Linked DNA regions of Mus musculus. The protein of the gene in region 2 purifies or fractionates together with the protein of the main gene of each other region. This does not show direct contact. Links are inferred from orthologs where the notes say so. Each region holds a gene or a part of one and is shown on either strand. Other genes may lie near its edges.

Region 1 (3,652 bases), on a different chromosome or scaffold from region 2:
CACATATATATATATACACATATATATGCATATACATGTATATATAAATGATGTACATATATACACACACATGTGATAAATGAAGGTGCCTGTCAACAGCCTCTCTTTTGGTTGCTATGGAGCTCAATATTGTGTCAAGGTTCCCAAATATCTATAGAAATGATGTACAGGTATAGATTCCCAAATACATATAGAAAAGTATAACATGGCTGTAGATTTCTGTAACCTTATAGTAATTATCAATTTTACATTCACAGGTTGTGAATAATATTGTGACACTGGAATTGTGCCTTGTTATCTCATAGTTTGAGGATGCATATGTTCTTCCCTGATGCTAATAAAACTCTGCTTGGGCAGCTTTAAGAGCAGGTCATCTGATCTGTGCCAAAGGTTGAATTTTATATATGAGGAAGATGGAAAAAAAAAAAGAGGAAAATCTCTTTCTGCTTTAAAAAAAAAAAATCTCCAGAACAAGGAAGGTGGTTATCTCTTCCCATGGCTATATTTTATTATTTACTTAATCTACAAGAATATACATTATTTTTTAAATCTCTCCTTCAGAATATAAGATTCCTTAAACTTCACAAAACAGGTATAATTATCAGCCTATAAAACTGTCAAAAATTGTAGTTTTATTCCTAATAGTATGCTTTTAAAAAAGAGGTGTATTTTATGTGTAGGAATGCTTTGCCTGCATGTATATACCACATGTGGGCCTGGTATCCATGAAGCTGAGAAGAGGGTGTTGGATGTCTTGGAAATGGAATTACAATCTGTGTGCTAGGAATCAAACTTTAGTCCTCTGCAAGAGCAGGAAGTACTTTAAACCACTGAACCATCTCCAGCCTGTGCTATTTTTTTAGGGGGTGGTGTGGTCAACTTGACATAAGCAAGAACCACCTGAGAAGAGAAAAAACATCAACTGAGAAAATAAGGCATTTTCTCAATTTAAGATTGATGTGGGGGGTGGGGGGAGCCCAGCTTACTTTGGGTGGTGCCATCCCTGTGCATGTGGAGCAAGCAGACTGAGCAAGCCATGGGAAAGAAGCCAAAAAGCAGCATTCCTCTGTGGTCTCTGCTTCAGTTCCTGCCTTGAGTGCCTGCCCTAACACAGAAGGATTGTGGCCTGTAAGCTGAAAAACCCTTTCCTCTGCAAGCTGCTTCTGCATAGATTTTATCATAGCAATAGAAACGTAACCAGGGCAAGCCACAGTAGTCTGATTTTAAAAATTGGTATTAGTTTTCTTGACAAAATGGCCTATTTAGATCCCATAAAGTATCTCTTATTTGAAACAACGCGGAGGGAATTGACACAAGTTCAATATTTCCAGGCTTTTATTTGATGGCAGAGCTTTTCTCTGAACTGAAAACCAGTGGTGAAAGGGTCATTTGGTTCAAGAACTTGCCCAAAGTCCTTTATATTAAACTCTGATTCCAAGAACACCTTCATCATCTTTATTCGAAGGTAGTAATCTCCATAGCAAAAAGATATGTCAACTGTTAATATCATTGTTTTTATTGTGAAATAATTTCTTTGTTTGCCTGTGAAGATTCTTATGTTAGGCATAGTTCAAATTCTACACTAACAATAGCATAAAAGTTCATCCAATGTCAAAAGATTTTCAATCTTTATGACAGTTATTTACTAGAGACCGACATATTACATTAACACTACCCCCCCCCCCATCCAAGTTAATCTTCTAACACTGTAGAAACTGAGTATGACTTCTAATACTGCCACAGGAACCTGGTGGTGACATACATCATCTGATTCCCTGATGAGTTCAGTATCTTCAACTTGCACTACTGCATCAGCACCGCAGGGGATTGGAGCACCTGTTGTAACCCGCATCACTTGTCCTGGCATTACTGTCTGAGTTGGCTGAAAGTATAAACATAAAAGACAGCTGGTTACTTAGTTGCTTCAAAGGAAAACCTTCAGGGAATATATTATTTTTAGGAAACAAATACTGAAAACTTTTTTTTTTTTTTAGGTATTTTCTTCATTTACATTTCCAGTGCTATCCCAAAAGTTCCCCATACCCTCCCCTCCAACTCCCCTACCCACCCAATCCCACTTCTTGGCCCTAGCTATCTCCTGTACTGAGACTTATAAAGTTTGCACGACCAATGGGACTCTCTTTCCAATGATGGCCGACTAGGCCATCTGCTGATACATATGCAGCTAGATACACGAGCTCCGGGGGGTACTGGTTAGTTCATATAGTTGTTCCACCTATAGGGTTGCAGATCCCTTTAGCTCCTTGGGTACTTTCTCTAGCTCCTCCATTGGGGGCCCTGTGATCCATCCAATAGCTGACTGTGAGCATCCACTTCTGTGTTTGCTAGGCCCCGGCATAGTCTCACATGAGACAGCTATATCAGGGTCCTTTCAGCAAAATCTTGCTAGTGTATGCAATGGTGTCAGCATTTGGAGGCTGATTATGGGATGGATCCCTGGATATGGCAGTCTTTAGATGGTCTATCCTTTTGTCTCAGCTCCAAACTTTGTCTCTGTAACTCCTTCCATGGGTGTTTTGTTCCCAATTCTGAGAAGGGGCAAAGTGTCCACACTTGGGTCTTCGTTCTTCTTGAGTTTCATGTGTTTCGCAAATTGTATCTTATATCTTGGGTATTCTAAATTTCTGGGCTAATATCCACTTATCAGTGAGTACATATCATGTGAGTTCTTTTGTGATTGGGTTATCTCACTCAGGATGATGCACTCCAGGTCCATCCATTTGCCTAGGAATTTCATAAATTCATTCTTTCTAATAGCTGAGTAGTACTCCATTGTGTAAATGTACTATATTTTCTGTATCCATTCTTCTGTTGAGGGGCATCTGGGTTTTTTCCAGCTTCTGGCTATTATAAGTAAGGCTGCTATGAACATAGTGGAGCATGTGTCCTTCTTACCTGTTGGAACATCTTCTGGATATATGCCCAAGAGAGGTATTGCGGGATCCTCCAGTAGTACTATGTCCAATTTTCTGAGAAACCACCAGACTGATTTCCAGAGTGGTTGTACAAGCTTGCAATCCCACCAACAATGGAGGAGTGTTCCTCTTTCTCCACATCCTCGCCAGCATCTGCTGTCACCTGAATTTTTGATCTTAGCCATTTTGACTGGTGCGAGGTGGAATCTCAGGGTTGTTTTGGTTTCATTTCCCTGATGATTAAGGATGCTGAACATTTTTCAGGTGCTTCTCAAGCATTCAGTATTTCTTACGTGAGAATTCTTTGTTTAGCTCTGAGCTCCATTTTTTAAATGGGTTTATATTAGATATTAGTCCCCTATCTGATTTAGGATAGGTAAAGATCCTTTTCCAGTCTGTTGGTGGCCTTTTTGTCTTATTGATGGTGTCTTTTGCCTTACAGAAGCTTTGCAATTTTATGAGGCCCCATTTGTTGATTCTTGATCTTACAGCACAAGCCATTGCTGTTCTATTCAGGAATTTTCCCCCTGTGCCCATATCTTTGAGGCTTTTCCCCACTTTCTCCTCTGTAAGTTTCAGTGTCTCTGGTTTTATGTGGAGTTCCTTGATTTGGCCTTAGTACAAGGAGATAGGAATGGATCAATTCGCATTCTTCTACATGATAACAACCAGTTGCCAGCACCATTTGTTGAAAATGCTGTCTTTTTTCCACTGGA
Region 2 (3,752 bases):
TCACAACCATCCGTAACAAGATCTGGCGCCCTCTTCTGGAGTGTCTGAAGACAGCTAGTGTACTTACATATAATAAATAATTTAAAAAAAAAAAAAAAAACAAAGTTACACTTAGACCACTAAAATAAAAAGCTAAATGATAGTGATCTACATGAAAGTTTTGCTATAGTGTGCATTCATAGAAATTATTATTGCGTGCATCCAGAACGAAACAAAACACTACAATGTATAGGAAACATTTACACTTCTCTCAGGAGGCTTAGCACAGCAAGGGGTGATCTAATCAAAACACTGGCCCGTGACATTTCAAAACTGCTTTATTCTATCAGATACTACTTTCTACCAGATCCTTACGTAGAGAAATGGAAGTCAGCTCCAAGGGGGAAAGGAAGAAACACTTAGAAAAACAACAACAACAACAATAATTCCCTACTTGCGAGGGAACTTTCTGAAAGCCTCACCACTAGAGAGCAATAATGAGTACGAGTTAAAAGCGCGGCTCGGCGGCTCGCGACCTGCCACGTTACTAATTCTACTACTACGGCTCCAGAACGACCTTTTCTCACCAGAATGTTTTTTGGTTTTTTTCGGGCTTGTACTCTTGTCCGTGACTGAGATGACTAAAACAGAATAAGCTCGTTGCGCGTAACTCGGCATTAGTAAGTCCTCGAAAAGGAAGTGCTCTTCTAATTGGAGTTGTTCGGGGCAGGGCCTTGAGTGTGGAAGTGAGTCTGTTCAGCTCGGCAAACGCGCATATTTTTGTAACCCCCACAACTTTCATGTAAGGATTTTTTTTTTAAAAAAAACCTTATCTCTGATGGCCTAACATTCATTGGAGCTACTACTGCTGATATGCTCTTTATCTGGAGCCTTCATGGACCCTTTATTTCAAAGAACACAGACAAAGAATAGGCTGTAGACAAGTAAACCCACAACAAACTAGGCCGCAGCTCCTCCACCACATCTCTATTTTAGCCTTAGAAGGTCTTAGAGTTTAATATCTTCTTGAAGCCCAAACTGATTACGTAGCCACCGAGTTACGAGGGGCCCCCGAAGGACTTCCGTCGTGGACAACAGTCCTCTTTCCCAGCTCCAAGGCTGCAGAAGTCTAGGGAGAGATTTCCATGGCAACACAGGCCTCAGCTTCGAAATGGCGGAAGGCCTCCCGAAGGATAACAGAGACCCTCGTTTTGTTCCAGATTATGGTTGCGATCCGCAAACCTACCTCTTTTCAGGCCTCTGCAGTTCCCCAGAACCTCAACTCCCACCATGACTCCATTGCTGCGCAGCCCAAACTACACCTCCCAGGCTGCTCTGCGCCTCTCTTCCCATGCTCCTCTTCTCCCGCGAGGTTGTGTAGCTCTGTAAGGCCACGCCCCTCGACTCCAGCCGACCTTTGGCAACTACCATTCCCAAGATACTTCGCACGTAGTACGTTTCTGATACGTTTCCGGCCAGTGACGCACTTCCACTTTGCTAGGCGCGCGGTTCCCGGTCTGAAAAGTAGAACGCGGATTTGGCTAGGGCCTCGCGTCTCCGCCGCCCGGCATGGCCTCCTCACGAGCCTCCTCCACGGTACGGAGCTCTGGATCTAAGCTCAGGCCTGCCCTAGAGAGGCCGGGGGTTCCCGTGGGAAAGGGCCGTTACCTTACGGGTCTGGGCCGAGGAGGAGGAAAGCTGAGGGACCCTAGTGTGGACCTTAGTAGCCTTTTCCTGATGTCTTCGTGTGCTGCAGCTCTCTTTGCACTGCTCTTACTTAAGTCCTGAGCAGAGACCACTCTTTCTGGCTGCTCCAAAACACGGTGCTTTGGAATCGGGTTGTGTCCTGACTTAAGCTGTCCGACTCGTACTTACTATGATGAGGCTTCCCAACTTGTAATCGGCTCTGAAAGTATTTGAAATGTGTATTCCAGTCACATCGTGACTTGGTGCACCTAGAGCCACCCTGATTGTTTAGGTTGTTTTTAGTGTCTGCCCAGCAGTGAGAAGTTATTTTCGTAAAACCGGAGATTGCTTTTCCAGTCGATTAAAGTAACGGGCCCCAAAACAACCAAGACACTTCAGGCAGAAATTGATTGGTCGTATTTGTGTGCCAAACTTAACAAGAGCCTTAACTCGCACAAAGTCAGTTTCGACTTTCTCCTCTAGTTTTGAGAGGAAAGAAGATGAAAGTGCAGCGTTAGCTTCATTCTTTTGGGAAGCATGGTTTGCTGGAACTAAACCTTAGTCCGGGTCTTTGATTTAACAGACAACCAAAACCAAAGCGCCTGACGATTTAGTTGCTCCCGTTGTGAAGAAACCACACATCTACTATGGAAGCTTGGAAGAGAAAGAGCGGGAACGCCTGGCCAAAGGAGAGTCTGGGATTTTGGGAAAAGAAGGACTCAAAGCCGGCATTGAAGCAGGAAATATTAATATAACATCCGGTAAGATGCAAATTGCAGGTCATTACCCCCACACACACACCCTTTTTTAAACAGTGCTGGGAATCCAACCCGGGTTTTTTTTTTTTTTTTTTTGCATGCTAGGCAACTGTTCTGCCACTGAGCCATACATTTCCATCTCCCCCCACCCCCCACAGTCTCTTACCTTTGACCTCAAACTCCTCCTGCCTCCTTCCTGGTCGCCACCATGTACTTTTGATGATTCAATATTCTGATGAACACCTTCCCAAACCACATAGTATTAGGTTTATAGGCCAAAACCTTCTATTGGTCTGGGGAGCTAGTTCAGGTGCCAAAAGCTTTTCTCTGTGACCATTAGGACCTGAGACTGAGCCCCAGAACCCATGTTTTTTTACTGGCTTGTTTTTCCTTTTTCTAAAAAAAAAAAAAAAAAAAGTCAATGTGGTGGTACCTACTTAGAATGAAATGTTGGGAAGACATACTTGCAAACGCGTGCAACCTTACCCTTCTGTTTTCACCTTTGAGCCTGTGACTTTACCTGCTTGACATCATCCAGTGAGTGGATTTCTTGTATTCTCTACAGTTCCTTGCAGGAATGACTCGTGGTCTCTGTAGACTTCTTGAGTGGATTTGTCTTTGGGAGATGTAACCTAGTTCTGGCATTGGTTTATAACTGTTTATAGAATTCTTTCCTTTACTTTTCTAGGGTTTTTCTTTGTGTTTTCCTTTTTGTTTCTGTTTTTCAAGACAGGGTTTCTCAGTGTAGCCATGGGCCAAGCTGGCTGGCCTCCAACTCAGAGGTTCTCCTGCCCCTGTCTCCAGAGTGCTGAGAATAAAAGCATAAAAAAGAATAAAAACCACTACCTGCCTAGTTTAACTTAGTTATTATAAGTATTTAAATGTGCACACTTTTTCCCTGTACACATATACTATTCTTAAATGTCTTCAAGCCTGTCTCACTGGGGGTTAGGAGGGGCGAGGGGTTGTGGGTTTTAAAACTAATCGCCATAGTATCCAAAAAGACTTACCTTGTTGTCAGAGGAATCCTGTTTTTCCTGGTCATTATTTCCTCTCACTGTGTGTGAATGCTCTCCTGGGGGTACTGTTTTAGCAGGTAGGAGTTGGGCTTTCCAAATAAGAAATGTTCTAAGCTATAGAAAGAGATAGTGAAATAAATGGAAGAGGTGGCCTGGCCCTCCTGCCCTCAGTTTAAAGCATCACTTGGGTTTATGTGTTTGCTATCATTTAATAAGCTGAGAATTGAAAATGGTAAGCTATAAAAAGTAAGATAGATTAGATACAGTTCTTGCATATGCTTACAACTTTTCAGCTCTTAAAGACCAAAAC
Region 3 (3,652 bases), on a different chromosome or scaffold from region 2:
ACTGGTTTTGTTGTTATTTGTTTGGTTTTTTGAGACAAGAGTTTCTCTATGTAGGCTGGCCTCAAATTCTGAGATTCAGAGATCTGTATGCCTCTGCCTCCTGAGTGCTGGAATTAAAGGCATGTGCCATCACCATCTGGCCTAATGGGTTTTTGTTTTTGTATTTTTTGAGGCAGGGTCTCACCATGTAGCTATGGCTGCCTTGGAACTTGCTATGTAGACCATGCTGGCCTCCTGGAGACCTTTTATTAGTTATGAAAGCTTGTCCTTAGCTTAGGCTTGTTCCCAACTACCTCTTAGATTAAACTAATCTCCATTCTGCCACGTAGCTTGTTATTTCTTGAGTACTAGCACCTGTTTCTTATTCAGTGTCTGACTGGCAAATCCCTCTTGCTTAATTCTTTCCCAGAGTTCTACTTCTGCCTGGAAGTTCTATCTATTTTCTCTTGCTTTGCTATAGTCCATTGAGCTCTTTATTAAACCAATCAGAAGGTGTTGAAGAGAGTGTGCACAAAATATGATGCAGCCATAAGAATAACAGTATCAAAGTGCAGCTTGTACTCTGTGTGGTACAGAAATCAGCATTTGAATAATACAGAGATAACCTTTCCACAGTGCACAAACATATCATCCCAACACACCACAGCCTCCCCGATTCTGTGGCTCTTACTATCTTTATTCAGTTCCTTCCTTCACAATGTCCACCGAGCCTTAGGTGCAGGAGTGTTCTGTAGATGGGACTGGGCTCCACAATTCTGCATTTTCATTAGCTGTGCTTTTCTGTAGTGATCTCTGTCTATTGTAAAAAAAAGTTTCCTTGATGAGGGGTGAAGTCAGTACTTCCTGTGGTTATAAGCACAAATGTTTAAGATTGTTGTTAGGGGGCTGGAGAGATGGCTCAGAGGTTAAGAGCACTGACTGCTCTCGCATAGGTCCTGAGTTCAATTCCCAGCAGCCACATGGTGGCTCACAACCATCTGTAATGGGATTTGATGCACACTCTACCGTGTACTCATATAAATAAATACAAAAATAATATTTAAAAAATGATTGTTAGGGATTATGCTGGTTTTATAAAGTAGTGGTTGTTGGTTCTCTTCAAGATCCATGACTTCATAGCACCAAGTAGGTAATCTGTTTCCATTCTCAGGCATGGTTATCCTCTGGTTGAGCAGGTGTTAAGTCCAATTAGAAAGCTGCCAGTTACTGTCAAATATGTGTGTCACTACTGCACTCTTAGGGGTATTATGCTATGTTGGTTATTGATGTTGTTCCATAGGCATCGATAGCAGGTTAAGGGTGTTTGTCGCCTTGTTCCTTTGGAAGTTTGACTGATATCTTCTGGTACCATGAATGCTAGTCTTCACAGAGGAAGCATTCAGGTCATTTCCAGCTCAGGGGTTTCTGGGCTCTATTCCTGAAATCCATAATGTCTTCTGCAGACACTGGGTGTTGGGGGGGGCAATTAAGGACAGCAGCAATAGGCTGTATGCTTTAGTAGTCTTTTGGACAGCCTTGATTGTCAGACTAATTTAAAGCATGACTCTAAATCTCTGGGAGGCTGAGGCAGGAGGATTGTGAAAAGTTGGAGGCCATGGGGGTGGAAAGAAGTCTCTGAGAACACCGGCTGCTCTTCCAGAGGACCAAGGATTGGAGTCCCAGCACAGACACTTCCATTTGCAACTGTCCATAATTCCAGTTCCAGGAGTCTGATGCCCTTGCTTGGCCTTCACAGGCATTGCGTGCATGTGGTGCAGACATATATGCAGGCAAAAAAGCGAAGACGTAAAAGGAAAGGGAAAAGTCTTAAGGTCAGTCTGAGCTGTGTGTACACCTTGTTTCTCTTGTTTGTTTGAGACAGGGCTTCTCTATGTAGTCCTAGGTGTCCTAGAACTCACTATGTAGACCATGCTGGCCTCCAACTCACAGAGATCCTTCTGCCTCCTGAATGCTGGGATCAAAGGCATGTACCACCATTGCCTGGCTTCAAAGGACTGTGGAGAATGAGTTACATAAATGAGTTATGTAAGGCTGCAGAGTAAAGCCTGTACATAGAAGGTGAAGGAGGAGGAAGAGGAGGAGGAAGAGGAGGAGGAGGAGGAGGAGGAGGAGGAGGATTCATTCCCTTTTATCTCCATTACAGCCAGACCCAAAGGCTCCAAAGGTTCCAGAGACTTCATCCTTGGACTCAGCCCTTGCTTCTTCCCTGGATCCTCAGGCGCTGGCCTGCACCCCAGCTTCTCCTCTAGACTCACTGTCTCCAACTTCTGTTCAAGAGTCTGAGTCCCTGGACTTTGACACCCCATCTTCTCTGGCACCACAGACACCCGACTCTGCTTTGGGCTCTGACACTGTCACCTCTCCTCAGTCTCTGCCTCCAGTTTCACCACTGCAGGAGGACAGGAAAGAGGGGAAACAGGGGAAAGAGCTAGAATTAGCAGAAGAAGCCTCAAAGGACGAGAAGGAGGAGGCAGCAGCAGTGTTAGAGCTGGTGGGATCTATTCTCCGTGGCTGTGTCCCTGGAGTGTACCGAGTCCAAACTGTGCCCTCTGCCCGGCGTCCTGTGGTCAAGTTCTGTCATCGGCCTTCAGGTCTTCATGGAGATGTATCCCTCAGTAACCGGTACTTTTGTGTGGGGTTGAAGGCTGGCTCTAAGGTCTGGGGTATATGAGGAGGGGGTCCTGATGTGGACGAGCTTATGCCTGCTGAATTTGTTTTTCTTCTTTGGTTCAGTCCTCCTTTCTTCCACGAATGTCACCTCCTACCTGGCTTCCATTTCAGTGTTTTTTTTTCCTTTGGAATACTTTGTGCGTTTGAGTCAGAGTCTTGCTCCATTGTCCAGACTGGCCTCAAGCCTGTGATTCTCCTGCCTTAGCTTCCTAACTCCTGGGGTTACAGGCATGTGCTGCTATGCTTGACTCTGCAGTACTGCTTTTTGTTGTTGGTTTTGTTTTTTTGAGACAGCCTGTGTTGAGACAGGCTAACCTTGAGCTCATAGGCCTTTGCCTCCTCCTTTGGGGTTAAAAGCGTAGGAAAGAGTTCTGTAGCTACAGAAACCTAGGAACTGTTAGGTTAAAAGTAAACAGGGTTTTCCTTCACTATTTTTCCTTCCCTACTCCATGCTTTGTTTCTTTGTATATTAAGAGCTTTGCAACCAAATGCCTTCTCTTGAACCCCATAAAAGGAGGCCACAGATTATAACTGGGCCTCCGAATACTCTCATTCATGTGGCCCGCATATTTCTTTCAGATCTGTATTATCACTTTGCATTGAATAAACTATTCTTGCTACTATGCTTCTTATATTTGTGTCCGCATCTCATCTTGAGTGTAGTCAGAGAATGACGTGTGGGAATCAGTTCTCTTCCTTGTAACATAATTCCTAGGGATTAAACTGAGGGCGTCAGTCTTGGTGGCAGACTCTTACCCACTGAGCCATCTCACTGGTCCTGTGTCTCTGAGGCAGTGTCTCTATATTCCTATTCAATCTCTTGAGTATTGAAATTATAGGCACGTGCTACTACACCTGGCCGTTGAGCAGTCCTATATAAATAAACAACATGTCTTATGAATGGTGACAGTACAGGGTGAGCATTTGGAATGTAGTATTGCCTAAGGTTCAGTGGATACATATTCCCCCCTACCTCATCCCT

What was found.
Region 1: the proteins of Prpf4 (region 2) and Gphn purify together in Homo sapiens (affinity purification with mass spectrometry; 3 studies listed by BioGRID and IntAct, counting the BioPlex papers as one, with this or other methods). This does not show direct contact. The link is inferred for Mus musculus from reciprocal best matches to the Homo sapiens genes PRPF4 and GPHN.
Region 3: the proteins of Prpf4 (region 2) and Tut1 purify together in Homo sapiens (co-immunoprecipitation; 3 studies listed by BioGRID and IntAct, counting the BioPlex papers as one, with this or other methods). This does not show direct contact. The link is inferred for Mus musculus from reciprocal best matches to the Homo sapiens genes PRPF4 and TUT1.

What each region holds. Positions count from the first base shown.
Region 1 is NC_000078.6:78,621,534-78,625,185, reverse strand, and holds part of Gphn (gephyrin), read right to left. Parts: intron 1,883-3,652; coding exon 1,763-1,882; intron 1-1,762. UniProt on the Homo sapiens protein: Microtubule-associated protein involved in membrane protein-cytoskeleton interactions. It is thought to anchor the inhibitory glycine receptor (GLYR) to subsynaptic microtubules.
Region 2 is NC_000070.6:62,407,327-62,411,078, forward strand, and holds the start of Prpf4 (U4/U6 small nuclear ribonucleoprotein Prp4), read left to right. Parts: upstream 1-1,456; 5' UTR 1,457-1,548; coding exon 1,549-1,575; intron 1,576-2,248; coding exon 2,249-2,426; intron 2,427-3,752. UniProt on the Homo sapiens protein: Plays a role in pre-mRNA splicing as component of the U4/U6-U5 tri-snRNP complex that is involved in spliceosome assembly, and as component of the precatalytic spliceosome (spliceosome B complex).
Region 3 is NC_000085.6:8,960,201-8,963,852, forward strand, and holds part of Tut1 (speckle targeted PIP5K1A-regulated poly(A) polymerase), read left to right. Parts: intron 1-2,143; coding exon 2,144-2,622; intron 2,623-3,652. UniProt on the Homo sapiens protein: Poly(A) polymerase that creates the 3'-poly(A) tail of specific pre-mRNAs. Localizes to nuclear speckles together with PIP5K1A and mediates polyadenylation of a select set of mRNAs, such as HMOX1.